Linked DNA regions of Drosophila melanogaster. Changing the gene in region 1 together with any one later gene gives a genetic interaction. Each region holds a gene or a part of one and is shown on either strand. Other genes may lie near its edges. The genes, in order: Prx3 and Prx5.

Region 1 (3,720 bases):
TGAATGTCGGCAACGCCTACAGAGAATCCCCGAATCTTCGCATCCTGGCCAAATCCTTCGCGAGCGGCACACGAGCACGGTGCCTCAAGTGCTCAAGTGTTTGTTTAAATTATGCAAATCTGCGCAAATCCTGCGGGCGGGCTGGCCATCGGACAAATAGCGATACCCATCCCGGATTCGAACTGGTCTGGATTCTCGCAGACAAAGCGACGTGCACTTTTAATTGGTAAAAGTAGTCCAACTGTCTGGGAATTAGTGCACGGCCATGGATTTTCTAAGCGTGCTCGGGGAGTTCCTGGAAATCCCTGCTATACACACACACACACACACACTTTTCGGAACCCCTTGCCAATCTGTCCGTAATTACTTAGCGCTGCCTTTTAACGGAGCCCACGACCACATGACCCCAGTGCCGAGGCCCCAACTCATAAACAAGTTAACGACCAGGTACACTGAGAGAAAGAAGTGCTACACATTATTAGTTCAAGCTCAAGAATCAAATTAAAAGAAAGGTATACATTCTTCTTAAAGGAGATATTAGTTAACTTGAATTTTATATTTAAAAAAAAGTAATAACGTATTCATTTGTATATGGATCTCAAAAATAGTTTTGTTTTGTCTAAAAAAAAGTCTTTTTGAGTTTTTGTTACAATATTATAGTTATTACCCATTTTTTCAAGTGTTTTTTTCGGGAATGGTTAAATGGAATGCGAAGAAGGACGAGTGGGCTGGTAGCCACTTGGAGCGCGTAATTTGCGCCAAATTACAGATGAAAAGCAGCGAAAATTGTAAATGGCGGGGGAGCGAGCTGAGGAGTTGGGTGGCATAGCGCCACCCCTGGCAGGGGATGCGAAATGGGGGAGGCGAGCGAAATTGCAAACATGGGAATTGACTAATTGCGGGAAAGCAAGAGAGTCGAGCGCCATTGGTGGATATGGGCTTGGATTCGGGAATGGAAATGGAAATGGGAACGGACAAGGAGCGAGATGTGTGGGCGTTTTGGAATCCGTCAGATGTTTTGCCAACTTCAGACCAAATATGCAAAAATATTTGAGGACACGCATGTATCTATCGTTATTGTTTCGGCATACCAAGCCGAACGCGGCGGCATCTAGCTGGATACAAAAGTATCTAGATCGGGCATTGTAGCCGGGAAAAGACAAAACCAAACCCTCCTCGAGAAGGGAGAGAATCCAAAGCCTGGGCAACTGAGCCGCTTTCGGGCATTTAGTGGATTAACGAGCGGCGAACAAAACGCATGTAGTGCAAATAGTTGGTTGGTTCGCCGGGTAAGAGGCTCATTACCATTGTGCGGCGTGTGCAGTACGTGGTAAATATTTTGCTACACTTTCCATTATCCATCGCCGGCCTCATTCCACCGTGGACAATGCACAAAGGACACGGCAGGAGAAGAAGATGGACTTCTGAGGGGTATGCGGCTTCTAAGGGATATGAGGCGGTGGTTTCTAATATAATCAGAGCAGCACATGTGAAGAGGTGATCAGAAGATACGTGCTTATCTCTGATCTTCAAGGCATGTTCGTCTGCAAGGATTAAGAGAGCGATATATAAAAGAACACTTTTAAATGTAAAACTAATAAACAGAGAAAAGAAGTTAAAGTTTTTTTGATCATCACATTTTTAATATTAATAGATCTTTGATCGTATTTAATAGACTTTTTCAAGTTATTTGAAATGAATTATAATATTTGAAAAAATGAAATTGAATATCGCGCCACATAATTATCGATAGCCAACCTCAAGTACTGTGTGGCCAGCTTCCTGTGTATTTTGAGCTTTAAGCAGAGCTGGTTACACCCTGCTGTCAAGTTTGTTTTCACTTTTTTTACGAAAAGTTCTGCCGGCTTACCGTCAAATTCTGACTTAATATAAGCCTTATATAAACGTTATCTATTAGAACAAGATGTCTTTCGTAGCACGCTCACTGATTCGCAATGTAAGTTGGTCGAACGACCCAGAGTTGTTCGAAAACATGCCGCGGCGATTACGTAATTGGCTGAAACCGCGTTCTAATGCTGAATCTTATATATTATGCATTTTAGGTGCCGCTGATGGGCAAGGCCATCCTGAGTCAGCAGAAACAGATTGCCGCCCGCCTCCTGCATCAAAGTGAGTTAAGATCCCCAACATTAAAGCCCTATAAACAGATAGATTCCACGATTCGTTGGGATCTGGGCAGAAAGCCAATTTCAAAGTTTTGTATAATATTTAGCCTAAACATGTTTCTTAATCCCTTTTAGCCGCTCCCCTTGCGGCAGTCCGCGTCCAGCAACCTGCTCCCGATTTCAAGGGTCTGGCTGTGGTGGACAACAGCTTCCAGGAGGTTAAGCTGGAAGACTACAGGGGCAAGTACCTGGTGCTCTTCTTCTACCCACTAGATTTGTGAGTAAACTGAACTTTGCATTGAACTATTTCCTTATCTGCGATCCCATTTGCAGCACATTCGTTTGCCCCACCGAAATTGTTGCATTTAGCGAGAGGATCAAGGAGTTCCATGACATTAACACCGAGGTTCTGGGCGTTTCCGTGGACTCCCACTTCAGCCATCTCACCTGGTGCAATGTCGACCGCAAGAACGGCGGAGTGGGCCAGCTGAAGTACCCGCTCCTCTCCGATTTGACCAAGAAGATCTCTGCCGACTACGATGTGTTGCTGGACAAGGAGGGCATCTCGCTGCGCGGCACCTTCATCATTGACCCCAATGGCATCCTGCGCCAGTACTCCATTAATGATTTGCCCGTGGGCCGATCCGTCGACGAGGTTCTGCGCCTGATCAAAGCCTTCCAGTTCGTCGAGCAGCACGGAGAAGTCTGCCCGGCCAACTGGAATCCCAACTCGAATCCGGCTACCATTAAGCCCGATGTGGAGGAGTCCAAGAAGTACTTCAGCAAGCACGGCTAGAGGATCATCTGATTATTTCTTAAACACCCTAAACATTCACTACACCAAAAGACTCGCAAAATAAAGAGGATAAAGATTGGAATTTTCTGTATAACAATTTAAAAACAAAAACCCTAGGCATCGCACTAACTAATTATGCCTAATAAATCGATCTTACAGATGTGGGAATTAAGCATTTCTTTTGTGAGAATCAGCTTCACATACTAATTACTATGCTTAATTGCTATTAAAACTGCCGATTTAGTGGTTTTATCGTTTTATCCGTCCTTTATTTGAAGCATCGTAAATACAAATTAGTTTTGTAGATTTGACTCGGTTATCTTTTATGGTGAAAGCGAATATGTGGTCCGGGATTAAAATTACGTTCATAATTGATTGCAGGGACAGTCTCACAGGGTCGAGCACTATCGTTGGAGCAGCTGAGTGTTCTCAGGATCGATCTTATGAAGTCCAAAAGCTCAAGCGGATGGCGGTGGAGGTGGCGGCGGCTGCGACAGGCTCAAGGCTGGTGGCGGCGGTGCGCAGGGCGGAGGTGGAGGCGGCGCATAGCCGCCGCCCCAGCCACTGTAAGCGCCACCACCCCACGGCGGCATGGGCGGGGCACTGGTGCCGGGTGGCGGCGGGATTAGCGGTGGCAAGGTGCCCGGTATAGGTGGATTCAGCGGTTCTGTTGCCGGCGGCGGAGGCTGCGGTGCGCTCATCCACGGCATCAGCGGCGGCGGCATCGGAGGCGGTGCTTGAGTGCCCGGCGGTGCCGGCACATAGGCCGCCATTGCGTGCTCCATGCCAAGGCTCATG
Region 2 (4,249 bases), 620 kb from region 1:
TCACAAGATGTCCCCACAGAACCGCGATCATATTCTCATTCTCTAGCATAGAAAATCCGGTTCTAAACGGTACCGAAAACACGTTCATGCAGCGTTCCTCCGATTAGTGCTGTAACTTCCAAGTGGACAGGTGTTGTCGGTGATGTGGAATTTCGGATTCCCATTTAAATGTTAGCATCAACACTTTATGCAGGTCTTCAGGCGTTTCATTGTTTGGCATTGTTCATTTCGCATAAAACTATACTCGAAACGAAAATAAGTAACAAAAATGCCAAAACACTGGCGCAGAGAGAGCGTACTTGAAAAGAGAGTAGAGAGAGAGAGGAGAGCAAGCGAGACGAGCAACAAGTTGAGAAGCAATGGCCGTCGACCAATTGCCAGGGTTGCCAGACATGCCAATAGAAATGGGGAAGGAAGAGCGCTTTTGGGTGGTGTTGGTGTTTTTCAAATTTTTTTTTCATTTCTTTTTGGAGGTGCAAGGATGGGCAATCATCAACACAAGTATTGTTGGGGCACCCAGCAAGTACTCATAAGTTTTGTTGTTGCAAGGAAGGGGTGAAACAGAGAGGGAGAGAGACGGAGACAGTCGAGAGCGTAAAAGTAAAATGTGTACTAGGCACGATTAATAGTTGTAGTTGCACTTCCAAGACTCAAACACACAATTATTATTAAATATATATATATTTATATATATATATGTGCACATATATAAGTGGGGAAACAAATATAACTTTGAATGTCAAGGGGCGAGGTTAATTTGTGGGTTATATTTTCAGAGGGGGGTTTTTAATGGGTCTTATTTCGCCAATTTACCGCCAGAAGCTGCAAGAACTTGTTCAATTTGGCCCTGCTGCGATATAGGTTCGCCAACATCAAGTTCACTGCTGATAAAAGCTAGTTCTTTGCGTAAAATGCGAATTCTAACAAAAACGCTTGCACACGCACACAGAATCACAGCACAGCGCACACACACACACGCACACCCCGCTCTCGCGTTAAAATTCAGTCGTCGAGGCTACACGAATTATTTGCGCTGCAATTTCTTCGATCGCTGCGATTCGCTTCGATTTTCGCGTGCGAATTCCACAAGGCTCGCTCGCGAATTTCACACCCAATAGCTCGGCGGTCTATCGGCACCGGGGTCAAGTTCACCTTTTCGCTTAGAACGCACAACATCAACGCTCTGTGCAATTGTAAATAATAATTTATGTAAACTGTCTTATACACGCAACGTTGTCGGTGCTCAATAGAAAATAGAGTTACCAGGGCTGCAGGCGTGCGGCGGCGTTGCCTGACCCAGCCGACCCTCGATAGTTACTTTTAGGAAGATTTTACCGACTCCGTTTAAAAGCTAAAACGAGCTTTTGCTTATGCTATTTACTTATTTATATTTACTATCTTTATACCTTACTCTCCTCTACTGTCTTATTGCCAAATGCGAAAGACTTAAAGATCATTATTAATTATAATAAACCGAATGTTTACAAACTGTTATTTAATTGTTGATCTCACATTATTCTTTAATTTTGTAAAATAATAACTTCGAGTGGTTTTCGATAGCTTGTACATAATTTGTGCTAGCTGCATTAAAATATTAATAATTTTAAATAACATTTGGCAATTTACAAGAATCATATATATGTACTATATATTAATATAAGGAAATATTTTTGTAAATTATATATTAGCAAATATTGCGGCACTTGTTTTACAAACCAGGGCCGCTTGGCCTAATGACACTTGGTGGCAATACAGGTGGCAACGCCAAAGACAGATTGTTTATATCGCTCGACTTCTCGAGTTTGACTTTTAATTTTTTAATAAATTTTACGGCAATTGCTATGCAGATAACAATCAAGGTGCTGAAGGGCAAGGACTGCACCATCGAGGTAAGAATGAACCTTGCCAAAATCAAGTGAGGTCGCTAATATGGTAATATTTCACACAGGTGGCGCCGACATCGACGATTCTGGAGGTGAAACACCAGATCGAGGCGGAACTGCAGATATCGGCTACAAATCAAAAGCTACTGCTGTTGGGGCGACCGCTTAACAATGAACAGACAATTGCGTCATATCCCAACATCAAGGAGGGCACCAAACTCAATCTGGTGGTGATAAAGCCCTGTTTAAGGGACAGCATCCTGCGGGGATTCCGCAAGCACTATTCGGAGCCCCTAGCTGAGCGTATGACCAATGAGTTTATGGCCGACTTCGAGCGGAAAATCAACGAGCAGAGCCTGGACGACCTGGAGAGACTGGCGGACAGCATAGTCAACAGAGCGGCCACATAGCGCCATTGAAGACCCAATACCAACCACCACCACCCCCTCCAAAAATATGATGGAAGTCTATCCTTACAGCATAATATTTTTATTTCCCCCCTTTAAAAAAACAAACTAACTAAAAAATATGAGGTAGTAAAAATTAAGACTTGACTGAAAACACACGGCCCATATTCTTTTTTGCGACGGTCTGGCAACGCTCCACCGGCCAGTTGCAGTCTTTGGCTGTGTGCGTGCGTGCCTGTGTGTGTGAGAAGAAGAAAGAGAGGAGAAATGCGTGTGCTGTCGTGCAAATTTCTTGGCCGAGTTGTTAACTCCGCGCTGCCCCAACAAATCATTTCACTGCGATCCCTGTCCAAAACCAGTGCAGCTATGGTGAAAGTAAGTGCAGGTTGACCGGCAAACGCGGATTTCCGGCTGTGCGGCAGTCCGGATTCCATTACATAAGCCGGTGCCGAGCTGCATAAATATTGATTGCGGCGGCACCCAGAAATTACAGCGTTTCAAGGTTATCGCCTCCATCTTGCTGCCTCTTTTCTCTAAGTACGCCTGTCTGCCTCCCACTTTATTTCCAGGTAGGAGACTCCCTGCCATCGGTGGATCTGTTCGAGGACTCGCCAGCCAACAAAATCAACACCGGCGATCTCGTCAATGGCAAGAAGGTGATCATCTTCGGCGTTCCCGGCGCCTTCACTCCAGGCTGCTCAAAGGTGCGTAGGTAGCATAGTTGCAAAGTCATCTGCTTTGAGTTTCCGAATATTGTAGAAACTTCCAGCAGTATAGTGTAATTTATGCAGCTTATGTATTCCAACTGAATAATGCATTTCCCCACACCCACAGACCCACTTGCCCGGCTATGTGAGCTCCGCCGATGAGCTGAAGTCCAAGCAGGGCGTGGACGAGATTGTCTGCGTTTCGGTCAACGATCCCTTTGTGATGTCCGCCTGGGGCAAGGAGCACGGAGCCGCGGGCAAGGTGCGCCTCCTAGCTGATCCCGCCGGCGGTTTCACCAAGGCCCTGGATGTGACCATCGATCTGCCACCACTTGGCGGCGTGCGCTCAAAGCGCTACTCGCTGGTGGTGGAGAACGGCAAGGTGACCGAGCTGAATGTCGAGCCCGATGGCACCGGACTCAGCTGCTCGCTGGCCAACAACATTGGCAAGAAGTAAATGGAATCCAGTCAGCCCGAAAACACTAGAAACTCATACATGCTAATGCTAGGCCGCAATGATATCAATTACGTCTTCAAAAGAACTATGTAAAACGTACAATATATATGCGATTAGAGATGTTATGTCTAAGGGGTATGCTTTAATATCTAATTGGGGGGCTTATAGTCTTTACAGTCATTTTATCTAATAACTAGCGATTGTCCGTGTTGGGTGCAATCTTCTGTGACAACAGTTTGCCATAACCCCCGCGGCCGGCATCGTAATCCGTGCGGTATTCATCTCGCACCTGTCCGCCGGTTTTGCCGCGTCCATACTGCCTGCCCTCCACGAAGCCGGCGTCCCAGTCCACACGAATCAGACGGTCGTCCAAGCGAGTGCCATTCACAAATCTTTTGTGGGAGAAGAAAAGAGTGTTGAAGTTAGTTAAGAGATAATGATACCCCATCTGATTACTTCTACAAATGCCGGAAAAAAGGCGGCTTTTTCTAGCGTGGAGAGATGGATATGGCTCACCTCATGGCCGCCTCCGCCTCCGATCGGACATAGTACTCCACGAAGCAGAAGCCGCAGGGCGTCTTCTTATACTTGTCCAGGCCCATCACAATCACACGAACATCGCCGCAGCGGGAGAAGAGCTCGTGGATCTGCTCCTCGGTGGTGTAGAAGCTCAAGTTTCCCACGTAAAGTGTACACGAGTCGCGGAGCGATCGCTCTTGCTCGGAGCGCGAGCCCTGCAATTGGTTTATTGAGTCGGAGATCTGCTGTGGCGCCTTCGGATGTACTCACCTTGAA

What was found.
Region 2: of Prx3 (region 1) and Prx5, changing one enhances a phenotype caused by changing the other (phenotypic enhancement), as found in Drosophila melanogaster (one study listed by BioGRID).

Annotation. Positions count from the first base shown.
Region 1 is NT_033777.3:17,544,593-17,548,312, reverse strand, and holds Prx3 (peroxiredoxin 3), read left to right. Parts: upstream 1-1,781; 5' UTR 1,782-1,924; coding exon 1,925-1,957; intron 1,958-2,063; coding exon 2,064-2,130; intron 2,131-2,261; coding exon 2,262-2,403; intron 2,404-2,459; coding exon 2,460-2,922; 3' UTR 2,923-3,091; downstream 3,092-3,720. Other genes in the region: SF1 (splicing factor 1), read right to left, coding at 3,381-3,720. UniProt on the Drosophila melanogaster protein: Thiol-specific peroxidase that catalyzes the reduction of hydrogen peroxide and organic hydroperoxides to water and alcohols, respectively. Plays a role in cell protection against oxidative stress by detoxifying peroxides.
Region 2 is NT_033777.3:18,164,771-18,169,019, reverse strand, and holds Prx5 (peroxiredoxin 5), read left to right. Parts: upstream 1-1,746; 5' UTR 1,747-1,841; coding exon of another isoform or gene 1,842-1,889; intron 1,890-1,948; coding exon of another isoform or gene 1,949-2,293; 5' UTR 2,294-2,557; coding exon 2,558-2,665; intron 2,666-2,859; coding exon 2,860-2,994; intron 2,995-3,124; coding exon 3,125-3,454; 3' UTR 3,455-3,578; downstream 3,579-4,249. Other genes in the region: CG7215 (uncharacterized protein), read left to right, coding at 1,842-1,889, 1,949-2,293; Cbp20 (cap binding protein 20), read right to left, coding at 3,648-3,846, 3,971-4,188, 4,244-4,249.